3 linked regions of the Cricetulus griseus genome follow. The main gene of each other region encodes a partner of the protein of the gene in region 3 in a complex. Links are inferred from orthologs where the notes say so. Each region holds a gene or a part of one and is shown on either strand. Other genes may lie near its edges.

What was found. The genes of interacting proteins can lie anywhere in the genome.
Region 1: the proteins of Gna13 (region 3) and S1pr2 are in contact, whole or in part, in a cryo-EM structure (PDB 7T6B), measured with the Homo sapiens proteins. The link is inferred for Cricetulus griseus from reciprocal best matches to the Homo sapiens genes GNA13 and S1PR2. Residues at the interface, in NP_006563.2 of Homo sapiens: Arg47, Val216, Phe359, Lys363, Asp364, Ile366, Leu367, His368, Asp369, Asn370, Leu371, Gln373, Leu374, Met375, Leu376, Gln377; in NP_004221.3 of Homo sapiens: Ser66, Met68, Tyr69, Leu72, Arg130, Ala133, Ile134, Lys136, Val137, Lys138, Leu139, Tyr140, Tyr209, Ile212, Val216, Ser219, Gln227, Thr228, Leu231, Leu232, Val235, Tyr288.
Region 2: the proteins of Gna13 (region 3) and Gpr35 are in contact, whole or in part, in a cryo-EM structure (PDB 8H8J), measured with the Homo sapiens proteins. The link is inferred for Cricetulus griseus from reciprocal best matches to the Homo sapiens genes GNA13 and GPR35. Residues at the interface, in NP_006563.2 of Homo sapiens: Lys46, Arg47, Leu48, Val49, Lys214, Asn215, Val216, Phe218, Arg331, Gln337, Gln338, Lys340, Pro341, Leu342, Tyr343, Phe359, Arg360, Asp361, Lys363, Asp364, Ile366, Leu367, His368, Asn370, Leu371, Lys372, Gln373, Leu374, Met375, Leu376; in NP_005292.2 of Homo sapiens: Phe45, Gln51, Thr53, Thr55, Met59, Asp113, Arg114, Ala117, Val118, Pro121, Leu122, Arg123, Arg125, Arg128, Ala197, Leu198, Arg201, Pro202, Thr204, Asp205, Gly207, Gln208, Ala211, Ala215, Met218, Val219, Ala280, Lys281, Glu282.

Annotation. Positions count from the first base shown.
Region 1 is NC_048597.1:133,844,657-133,848,999, reverse strand, and holds the start of S1pr2 (sphingosine 1-phosphate receptor 2), read left to right. Parts: upstream 1-1,420; 5' UTR 1,421-1,591; exon of another isoform or gene 1,592-2,892; intron 2,893-4,343. UniProt on the Homo sapiens protein: Receptor for the lysosphingolipid sphingosine 1-phosphate (S1P). S1P is a bioactive lysophospholipid that elicits diverse physiological effects on most types of cells and tissues.
Region 2 is NC_048595.1:444,456,522-444,459,401, forward strand, and holds Gpr35 (G-protein coupled receptor 35), read left to right. Parts: upstream 1-1,265; 5' UTR 1,266-1,342; coding exon 1,343-2,257; downstream 2,258-2,880. UniProt on the Homo sapiens protein: G-protein coupled receptor that binds to several ligands including the tryptophan metabolite kynurenic acid (KYNA), lysophosphatidic acid (LPA) or 5-hydroxyindoleacetic acid (5-HIAA) with high affinity, leading to rapid and transient activation of numerous intracellular signaling pathways.
Region 3 is NC_048600.1:122,211,537-122,215,637, forward strand, and holds the start of Gna13 (guanine nucleotide-binding protein subunit alpha-13), read left to right. Parts: upstream 1-1,201; coding exon 1,202-1,484; intron 1,485-3,802; coding exon 3,803-4,029; intron 4,030-4,101. UniProt on the Homo sapiens protein: Guanine nucleotide-binding proteins (G proteins) are involved as modulators or transducers in various transmembrane signaling systems.

The DNA of each region.
Region 1 (4,343 bases), on a different chromosome or scaffold from region 3:
CTTTAAACAATTTCACTTTTAATTTTATTATTTGTGTGTGTGCACGTGGGTGTATGCAGGTGTCACAGCAGGCCTTGGAGGTCAGAGCACAACTTGTGGGAATTGGTTCTCTCTTTCTTTTATGTGGGACCAGGCATCAAACTCAGACTTTCAGGCCTGTTGGCAAGCAAGAGCCTTTACCCACTGACAGCCTGCTGTTGTTTTTGTCTTTCTTTCTTCTTTTTTTTTTTTTCGAGACAGGGTTTCTCCTTTTTTCTTTTTTTATTAATTAATTTATTTTTTTACATTCCAATCCCAGTTCCCCCTCTCTCTTCTCTTCCTCGTCCCCTCCCCCCCACCTCCCATCTTCTCCTCGGAGTTAGGCCTCCCCTAGGAAGTCTACTAAGTCTGTCCCATCATCCCCTTAAGGCAGGACCAAGGCACCTCTCCACCCCCCACACCCCTGTGTCTAGGCTGAGCAAGGTTATCTCTCCATATAGAATGGGCTCCACTAAGTCATTTATCCTGTTATTGCTTTAAAATGCATTTATTATTATTGTACATGTATCTGTGTATAAATGCAGGTGCGACAATGCCACAGTGTCATGTGGAGGTCAGAGGCCAACTTTGCTTCCAGGGACTGAACTCAGGTCAGCTTCCAGGCAAGCACTTTCCCCTGCTTAGTGAGCTATATAGCTGATCTGTTGTTACTCTTAATTTTGGATTTTTTTTCCGCTCTGAGTTGTTTGGAGGGAAGGAGACAACAGGATCATGTAGTCAAACCTGCTTCTACTTCCCAAGTGCTGGGATGAGAGGCCCAAGCCGCCATGCCCTGCTTCTGCAGTGCTGAGGATAGAACCCAGGGCATTGTGCATGCTAGGTAAGCACTCCACCGCCCGAATCCACATCCCAGCCTGTTGTTTTCCAGAAGGGTCTCACTTGCCCAGCCAGTCCTGGCGAGTCTGAACTTCCTGATCCTCCCAAATCCCAGGTCCCAGGTGCAGGCGCATGTGTCACCACACCCAGTTCTGTTTTGGGGGCTGGGCGCGGCACAAAGTAGGAATTTGTCTCTTGAAGGACCACATAGTAGGTGCTTAATCCTGAGTTGCCGAGCCCTCCCGTAGTAGGTAAGCACGATTTCCTCCATTTCCAGGTCCCAGGCAGAAGCCTGGAGCAAGGCCTTCAGTGTCTTTCGAAGGGAACAGTTGTTTCAGGTCTAGGCCACCTGGGTTAAGAAAGGTGTGACGTCACGCGACCGTGACATCATGAGATGGTGGTTCTCACGGGTGGGGGCTGGGAGGGACAGGACTGGAGGGGGGGGTGCGGACAAAGGGGCCCTGCGCTTCCCCAGCGCGCGCCCTGGCTGACTGGCGGACCACATCTGGAATTCATTGCAAGTCGCCGCCGGAAAGAGGAGGAGAGGAGGGCGGGGCGAGTAGGGAGTGGGGGCCGGAGGCGGCGGCTCTGCCCGCCTCCCTCTTGTCCTGGGTCCCCAACTCCGGGACGTAGACCGAGCCCAGCCAGCAGCCTCCAAACCCTACCACTGGCTGTCCCGGGGCGCAGACGCCGAGGCCACTCAGGCCAGGGCAGGGACCCCGGCCGGCCTAGCCAGGTGAGCTCGCGGGGCCAAGGGGAGGTTCCGATCTGGGCGGGCGGCGCGCGGTCCGCTGAGACGGCGGGGATCCTAGGGGGGGGCCGAGCCCGGGGTCAGGCGCTCACACAGGCTTAGCATGCGCTGCTCCAGGGTCTGCTGCACCGATGGGACCGATCACCCTCCCCCGTGCACCGTGGCCACCGCTCCGGGCAGTTTCCCACCTACTCGGTGGCGCACCCCCAGACAGAGCTCCCCGCCTTCCTCGGGGCAGGAAGTTGGTGTTGAAGAGAAAGGCGGAATCCAAGTACTTTGGGTTGGCGACTTTGCAAGACAGGATGGGGGCTCTCAGGAAGCCGGGTTTGGGGCTGTGGGGTTGTTGAGGAGAGGTACAGCATCTCTTCTCTGTCTCCGGCTTGAGCTAGGACGAAAGGTGCTACACGCGAGCGGCCGCGGCGGACGCTCCGAGTTCATGGGCGGGGTCCCCAGGGAAGGCCGTCGCCCCACCGCCTGTAAGGCTATTTTTTTTTTTGCCTCAGTTTCCCTGAGTTGCCCTCTCCCGCGGTCTCCCCTTCGGGAGCATTGTTTTGTTTCAGACGGAAAGGAACAGTACTGCATAGTCCAGACGCCTCCTTTTCCTATCCTAGCCCAAGGATGGGGCATAGGGGCGAAAGAAGGCACGCGTGGTGTGGAGTCCACATTGTCGCGGGCTACACAGTGTTGGGACCTCGCCCCCTTCTCTGGCACCGGTTGACTCACTCGGGGATTTCCACCTCCCCTCCCCACCCCCGTCTCTGTGCTTGTTAGATGCCCTAGGCGACACTCTTCTGAGCCCACGGTCCCCTGTGGCAGGGCATGGGAGCATCACTGCGGGGGGCGGGGGACAGAGGGGATGCAGCTGCTGCAGCTTGGGTCTTCCCCTCTCTTCAGTGCCCGGGGAATCTAGGTGTGGGGGCCCTCTGATGGGATGCAGAGGTGTCGCCTTCCCCTGTTGCATGGTGCGGGGAGGGGAGCATCCTGCTCGCGTGTCGGTGTCGGGGTCTCGGCTGAGAGATGGCGCCGCCCCAGAGAGTGTGGATACCGCGCATTCCTCGGCCTGATAAGGAGCCGGAGAGTGCTGCCTGGGCCGGGCGGGTCTTACCGTCGTCGCCATGGAGACGCGCCAGGCTTCGCCTAGTGGCTGAGTTGGGGTGCTGCTAAGAGGACTGAGATGTCCCCAAGCTCTCCTGGGAGCCCTTCCTCCAGTTTAGGGCCCTTTCATTCATTCTTGTGTCTGTCTCTTTTGCATCAGGGGTGAACTTGCTAGCCGGCCTCATGGGGTACTGTGGAAAACAAGACAATTTTTGATGATTAAAGCTAGATGCTCTGATAGAATTCGGGGATGGGCTGGGCTGGGCTGTGCACGATGCCCCAGGCCTTTAATCCCAGCACTCCCGGAGACTGGGGCAGGAGGATTCTTGTGAGTTCAAGGCCAGCCTGATCTACATAGAGAGTTCCTGGTCAGTCTGGATACACAATAAGACCCTGTCTCGAAAAGAGAAGGTAGTTTCTGAAGACCTAGAAAGTGGCATTCAAATAAAATCCAAAGATGATATAGTCTGCCAGAAAACATGTTTGAGTGGGGGTGGGGTGGGACGGAGGAGTGTCTGTAGGATATAGGGAAGGCCCTGAGATTCAAATGGGCCTTGGGAGGCTAGTGAGGGTTATCCATGGGAGCAGGAGTTAACCATTGGAGCCCTAGGGAGCCATAGAGTGAGTAGGTGGGGAGTGAAGATTAAGTTCTCAGTTCTGTCAGTTCTCCCCTGCAGGCCCTGCAGGCAGGCGGGGTGGGCAGCAGTAGTGGGAGGGGCTGCAATCACACAGCAACCAAAAGAGAGAAAAGGTGACTGCAGGGTTGAAGTTGGCCAGCTGCTGGGGAGGGATGGGTGAGCTCTGGAACTGGGAAGGAGAGGAGCAGAGCCACTAAGCCACCAGGCCTTCCTCCAGCCTTCCTCTCTCCTAATCTTTAGTCAGGCAGTCATGTCTGGATATCTGCCTTCCCTCTCCAAAACCTCTCACTCGTCTCTTTTCCTTGTGTTCTGTATCCTAAACCCAGGGCTTCAAATGATGCTGTCCCCCTGAATTATATAGAGCTCGCCTTCTTACTTTCAATTATTTATAGACAGAGTCTCACTATGTAGTTCTGGCTGTCCTGAAACTCACTCTGTAGATCATGCTGGCCTCAAATTCACAGAGATCCACCTGCCTCTCTCTCCCAAATCCTGCAATTAAAAGAGCACTGCTACACTGGGCTTTCTAATATATTTACATTTTAAAGGTTACATTTATTTACTTTGTGGGTATGCCTATATGGGCATGTGTGCTTCATGGCATGAGTGAGGAGGCCAGAAGCTTGGTGACAAGTGCTTTTAGCTGAGCCATCTCGACATCTCCCAGCCCACCCCTTTAATTTCTACTTGCCGTCGTGACCCGCACGTCTCAGCCTTAACCCATAAGGTTCGGCCTGAGCGGAGGTGTGTGGACCTGGAAGCTCCTAGCAACCCAGCGGCGGTAAAGCCCAAACACAGGCATCTCGTCATCTTTAGAGAGTTCTCAGTTCCATGTTGTAAAACTAGAGTCTTTTCTTTATTTGCCATCTTTTCGGCTGTTTCTTAACCATGCTTCTATGACCACGAGGAACCCAATTCTGTCCTTCCTCCTCTCCTCTCTGGTCCCTCGCCCCTAACTCTTGTCCTCACTTGTTGCTCACACACCTCGCCCCTCCGCCCAGGTG
Region 2 (2,880 bases), on a different chromosome or scaffold from region 3:
AATGAGCCCTGGCTCAATCTAGCGTGCATTAACCTCCCTGTCTGCAATCACTGGGCTGGGTGCTTGTCCATTTCCAGTGTGGGAAAGGAAAACATGCCTTCCATGTTTCTAAGGCAGACAGCCAGCTAATGCCTGACTCTCCCTGGTGAACACAGTTCTTCCCCTCCCGTCATCTTCCCCAGCAGGAAGCCCCTGTAGTAAAACTGAGAGCTATGATTCATCCAATTCTCCAGTCTTTCCTGGTACCCAGCAACCAACAAGGGGGTGGGCCAGGCGTCCAGTGTGCCTGGGCTCAGCACTTGCTGGCAGTTTCTTGTGTTAGTTGTGGAGTCACACTGACGCCGCTATGGCGGGGTAACCGAGGCTGGCCTGACAGCGGGATGAGACGGGAGTGTGATTGCTGTGCCACCGGCCATGTCCTAAGTGTCCACACTGCCCAAGCCTACCTGGGTGGGGCTTGATGGGCTCAGTAACCCTCCTGGGCCTAATTGTAGGGGGTAGACAGGCAGTGGAATGTGACCGTGGGGACATTCCTGACAATGGCAGTGGCATGGGCCTCTGAGTACATCCAGGTCCTGGAGGGACAGGGCTATGACCACTGAGAACTGTGTACCTACACCCTGATCTCAGACACAAACCTGGGAGGGGTCCTTGGGGTGATGCAGGCCTGGTGGTGGCACCTCAGGAGTTCCCACGGCTTCCCAGAGGTGATCTCAAGTCCTATATCCCCTCTGTTGTCCTGTGCTTCGGGGACAGACCAGACAGAGTGGGTGCTGGCCATATCTGTGAATCAAGTGGAGGTGTCTTCTTGCAGCCAGGTTGAGGGCAGAAATCTGCAAGACCCAGCCTTGGGATCCTTGGGCCCATAGGTGGGGCTGCCTCTGAGGCCTCCCTACTGAGAGTTGCATGCTGAGTGAGGCTGATGGCGTCAGTCCCTGCCTAGGACAATTGGAGGCTTCCTGGACGGGACCTGTAGACACTCCTTCCTTCCCCTTTCCCCTGCAACAGGTTGGCCTAAGGAGAGAAAGGCCAGGGAGATGGGAGGAGTCATTCTGTCTCTAGCTTTGACCTGGTCACTGCAACATTAGGTCTTCCTCCATCTCTGGAGGCTTTGGTCTCCCTACCTGTCCAGTGAGAAAAGGTTAGGCCTTGAGGGTGACTTTGAGATTTGTACAGTTTCTATGGTTTCTTGGGAAAGGGGAGTTTCACACTGTGTTGCATGCTTCCTCCATAGCTCCTGTACAGAGGTGGGCAGGCCTTGGCACAGGAGTTGGGCCTAACCCTGGGCTCCTCCTCCTACCAACTCTCACTGACTTCCTGACCCTCCTGCAGCCCCGGGACGATGAATGCAACTTGCAACAGCAGCGTGTGGAGTGAGTCAGTCAGCTACGTCTTCGGCATCTACTCAGTTTTGCTGCTGGTGCTGGGACTGCTACTGAATGGCCTGGCACTCTGGGTATTCTGCTGGCGCATGCAGCAGTGGACGGAGACCCGAGTCTATATGACCAACCTAGCTGTGGCTGACCTCTGCCTACTCTGTTCCTTGCCATTCATGCTGTACTCCCTGAGACACACTTCAGACACACCAATCTGCCAGCTCTCACAGGGCATCTACCTGGTCAACAGGTACATGAGCATAAGCTTGGTCACTGCTATTGCTGTAGACCGCTATGTGGCAGTGCGGCATCCGATACGTGCCCGTGAGCTTCGGTCCCCACAACAGGCCGTTGCAGTGTGTGTGACCCTCTGGGTGGCAGTGGTCACCTCCCTGGTAGTGCGCTGGCGCCTGGGGCTGCAGGAGGGTGGTTTCTGCTTCAGGAGCCATACCCGGCACAACTTCCGCACCATTGCCTTCTCACTCCTGGGCTTCTACCTGCCACTGGCCATAGTGGTCTTCTGCTCTTTGCAGGTTGTGACTGCGCTGGTGCAGAGGCCAACCACTGATGTAGTGCAGGCAGAGGCCACCCGCAAGGCCACCCGCATGGTCTGGGCCAATTTGGCTGTGTTTATCATCTGCTTCTTACCACTGCATGTGGTCCTGACCGTGCAGGTCTCCCTGGGCCTGAACACCTGTGCTACCCGTTACACCTTCGGGCGTGCCCTGTCCCTCACAAGCAGACTCTCAGATGCCAACTGCTGCCTGGATGCCATCTGTTACTACTACATGGCCAAGGAGTTCCAAGATGCATCCATGTCAGCCACCACCTCCAATACACCGCACAAGAGCCAAGATTCTCAGAGCTTGACCCTCACCTAGAAGTGAACCTGTTCCATGGACCAGAGGAGTCTGTGATGTTAGCAAGGAGCCCCCAAAACAGCCTGAAGCTAATGTGGGTTTTGAACACTCTAGGAAACCCAGGTGGCCTAGAGAGTCTGTATAGGAGGCTCCTCTGAAGGGACCAGAGGACTGAGAGTCTAAAGACCAACTTGAAGGACCCTGGAGCAAGACCACATACCTGCCACCCCAGATCTAGAACCCCTGAGGCACGAGAATGGGGCCTCGGTGGCCAGTCACTGGTTTTAGAATAGAGCTGTCTCCGGGAGATGGTCCTGGCAGGGCCCTTGGTGTCACCCAGATGCATGTGGTAAGAGGCAAAGAAGGAACATACAGCTCAAAGAGCTAGGAGACATCTTCTGAGAGGACCCTCTAATGGCTGTTTCCTTTAGGGACCTCCAGACTTCATGCCTACTGTAGGGTTAGGCAGGAGGGCAGTACCTATGGTCTGGAAGGCTGTCATCTACAGCACATGACAGCTCGGGATACCCAATGGCCATAAAGCCACACTCATCAGTAACACACTGCTGTTGGAGCCCCGGGCCTCTTGGTGGTGTTTCCATTTATAGTGGGCCTGTTGATCACAAGGCCAATGGCTGTGGTAG
Region 3 (4,101 bases):
TAATCTGGCAGGAAACCTAAAATGTCCTGCCGCAGTCCTATGCTGTAGGCTTATCTGCTTCCTTGGGAAGAACGCGCATCACAGTGTCCGGTTTAGGGGGATTTTCACCATGACCTCACCCTCTCCACCATTCACTGACCTCAGCAGGCATTACCCAAGTCACAAATGAAGCTCGGGTGGGATCCACATTAGCGAGCCAGCCACCAGAGACCTTGCTAGCACATCTCACATGAACAGCATCAACTCTAACTCTTCTCAAACCAGGGCAGGTATCAATAATGCCCTGAACTGCTCCAGAGGGGTGTTGATCAATAAGACATTTGACATCTAGATATCCTTCTAGACTCAGGATGGTAGAATGGCAAGGGAGTCGCTGCTAATTAAATGCGTGGGCTTGGATTAAAGCGCTTGCCTGTAATCCCAGCAGTGGAGAGGTAGGCTGAGGCAGGAGGATTGCCACAAATTTAAGCCAGCTTTTGCTGTACGATGAAATCCTATCTCAAGAGTTAAAATAAGGGGGGGGTGGTGGAGTGGGGGGACAAAATGTGATGAAGGAAGGAGGAGGCACCCAGGAACCTTCCAGGCTTGCGGTGGTCTGTGCGGTAATGTCCCAGCCAATGATCTCAAAATAGGAGGTGACAGCAGGCGGCGGGCGAGTCACTAGGGGAAAGGGCAGTGAGAACTGCAGAGAGAAGGAGTCCCTAAGAGAGTGGCATCGGGATGGGCTCACTCGCCTCGGGGCTCCGGGAAGCGACGGCACTAAAGGGAAACAGAAAGTCCGGCCCGGCAGGCGCGCGCCCAGCCCGGCCCGCGTGACTCGCGGGGGGCTCCGCCTCTCACCGCGCGCGCTCCCGGCCGCAGCCTCCTCGGCCAGCGAGCGGTGGGGGGGCGGAGCGGGACTCGCGCCGGCCTCCCCAGCGCGGCGTGCCTGCGTGCGCGTGCCCGTCGGGCGACGGGGGCGTGCACGCCCGGAGGGCCACCGCCCCTCCCTGGGCCCGCCCTCCCTCCCACCCCTCCCACCCTCCCCCGGCCGGCGCGGCCCGCCCTGGCGAGTCAGTCCTCGGGTTCCCTCCCTCCCCGGGCGCGCTCGGGCCGCCGCTGCGCTCCCCGCCCTCCAGCCGCCTTGCCGGAGCCAGCCGCTGCCGGAGGAGGAGGTGGAGGAGCCGCAGGGGCCCGCCGAGGCGGCGGCGGCGGCGGCAAGATGGCGGACTTCCTGCCGTCGCGCTCCGTGCTGTCCGTGTGCTTCCCGGGCTGCGTGTTGACGAACGGCGAGGCCGAGCAGCAGCGCAAGTCCAAGGAGATCGACAAATGCCTGTCGCGGGAGAAGACCTACGTGAAGCGGCTGGTGAAGATCCTGCTGCTGGGTGCGGGCGAGAGCGGCAAGTCCACCTTCCTGAAGCAGATGCGGATCATCCACGGCCAGGACTTCGACCAGCGCGCGCGCGAGGAGTTCCGCCCCACCATCTACAGCAACGTGATCAAAGGTGCGGGGGCGCGGCGGGGCTCGGGGACCCGGGGACCCCTGGGGAGCCGGGCCGGGCACCGCCCTCACCCGCCGGTCCCAAGTCTGAGGACACTGGATCGGACCAGATCGGACGGGCGAGCCCGCGAGCGAGCGAGCGAGCGGGTGGGCGCGCCTCGGGCGCCGTCCCGTGCGCCGCTGTGCCCTGGCCCCTCAGATCCGGGGCGCCCCGCTGTCCCCCCGTGCTACCCCAGTGAGGGTCACGGTCGGCCCCGCACCCCTCGGCTGGCCTCGCCCCCTCCGAGAGGGAAGTGTGGCGAGCAGGGTGACTCCGGGCAGCAGGGCGACTGGTGTCCTCCCAGCACACCAGACAAGCCCACCCCATCAGCAGCCCCAGGTCCCACACTCTCAACCCCTCCCTCTTCTCCCCGCCACGGGTGGGTGGGTGGGTGACCCTAGAAACCGGCGCAGATACCCTTCCAGCTCTGGGCTTCCTAGGCCACCTCTTGAGTTAAGCAAGTTCTGGAACCGCCGCAATGAGGAAACTTTTTTTTTTTTTTTTTTTTTTTTTGCCCTGAGACTCTTGTCAAGGGCATAGAGTGACAGCCTCTGGGGCCTTTTGGGGCAAGAGGTATGAAACTCAAGGGTGTCGAGTTTACTGAACTAGCATCAGGAGAGCCTATTAAAAAAAAAAAAAAAAAAAAAAAAAAAAAAAAAAAAAAACCTAGCACAAGTGGTTTTATCGCCCCAGTGCTACAGGATGTTTGTACTCAACAGTTCAACATGTTGCTTTCTTTCTCTTTTGCTTAATAACTCGGAGCAGGAGGGGGAATAAAACGGGCAACATTTCTAATACTTAAATGAATGTATGTTTAACTACGAAGACTCTTTGGCTTAAAAGTCATAAGAGACCTACAGAAGTTAGTGAATATGTGTGGTGTTGGATCATGGGCGTTACAAATTCTGTTTGACAATATTTTAAAATTAAAATATTGTTCCTCAGTGAAAAACACACGACATCTTTATTTCCTAGCATTCAAGGAAGTTTTGGAGGTGGCTCTTGTCATTTGAAATATCACCTTTCTTAAAAATTTTTCTTTAGTGTTATGTATCTTCTACATAAAAGACATTGTCAAAACTGAGGCACAGAGCCCTATGTTTTGAGTGATTAAGGAGTCACCCTGTTTTATCTGGGACTTCGAAGCAAACTACGATCGTAGATCTTTTCAGTTGTTATGTGGCTTTATTTTTTTTTAAGTGGGTTTTTTGTTGTTGTTCAGGAAGTACATGAAGCAAACCCCTTCATGTCTCTCCTCCCGCCTCTTCAGGATTTCAAATGGGGAAAAACTAGAGAGGGAGGCATTGTAGGGCAATGAGGGGAGAAGGCTAGGCCAAGAGCTCACAGTCCACGGCTCTTTCTTAGCCTGTACCTCTGCAGTTAAACTGTAAAGAGTGCTTGTATTTAGTCTGCCCTAATGTTTAGCACAAAACTAATTAAGGTCTCTTCTAAGGCTGTAGTGTACCTTGCTAGCCCATAATTGAAGGTACCTTTGTATCCTGATGCAGTTGAACTTAAAGAATTATGTTAATGAATAGACTAAAGTATTCACTGTAAGGTAAACACCTGCTTTTTTGATATATACTGGGCCTAAGAATTACTTTGAGCATTATTGTGTGATCAAGCCTAAGTCTAACTAGGCATCTTATTTTCTTGGGGTGATCAGAAAGTTGAAAGCAAAACAGTTTTTTCATGTATCCCAAGAAAGGACTTCCTAATAGATTGAGACAGAAGTAACAGTTTGGTGCTAAGAGTATTGAGTTTGAATTGACCTAAGTAAGTGGAGACCTCTGTTTGTGTATCATTTTGCAGTTGGTTTGGCTTTTAGGTAACTGTAAAGCCAGCAGGTGACTGTACTGATTTGAAACTGAGTCTGAGAGTGTCCTGGAAGAAAGTATTGGTAGGAGCTGAAGGACTCTGACTGAACACAGTGACTCAGGGCTGGGCAGCATTATTTATTTTTTCCATTTCTGGTTTTGACCTCCTTCCACTTCAGACATGATTTTATGGATGACAGCATATTAAAATCCTTCCAAGAGAGATTTTTGTTATCGATATTTACTTTCCAAGGCTTCTACTTTTAAGACAATGAACAATTGTTTTTTAAACCTCTGAGAAGATAAAGGTTCTGTTTTGATTCTGGTCTCCATTTAGGGAGTGGGGGTTCTGTAATAGCTAAAAAAAATTAAGGAACCAATACTGAATAACACTGGGGTGAAAGGTTGTGATGGTATCTTAATGACTCTTCCTCACATTTTTTTTTTTTTCCTTTTTAAACAAAGGTATGAGGGTGCTGGTAGATGCCCGAGAGAAGCTTCATATTCCCTGGGGAGATAACAAAAACCAGCTCCATGGTGACAAGTTGATGGCATTTGATACCCGTGCCCCCATGGCTGCCCAGGGGATGGTGGAGACTCGAGTTTTTTTGCAGTATCTTCCTGCTATAAAAGCCTTGTGGGATGACAGTGGTATACAGAATGCCTACGACCGGCGCCGGGAATTCCAACTGGTAAGACATTCACTTCTCTAAAATGTTTAATTTATTATTTTTGTTCCTTTGGTGTGTTTTTACTTATATGTG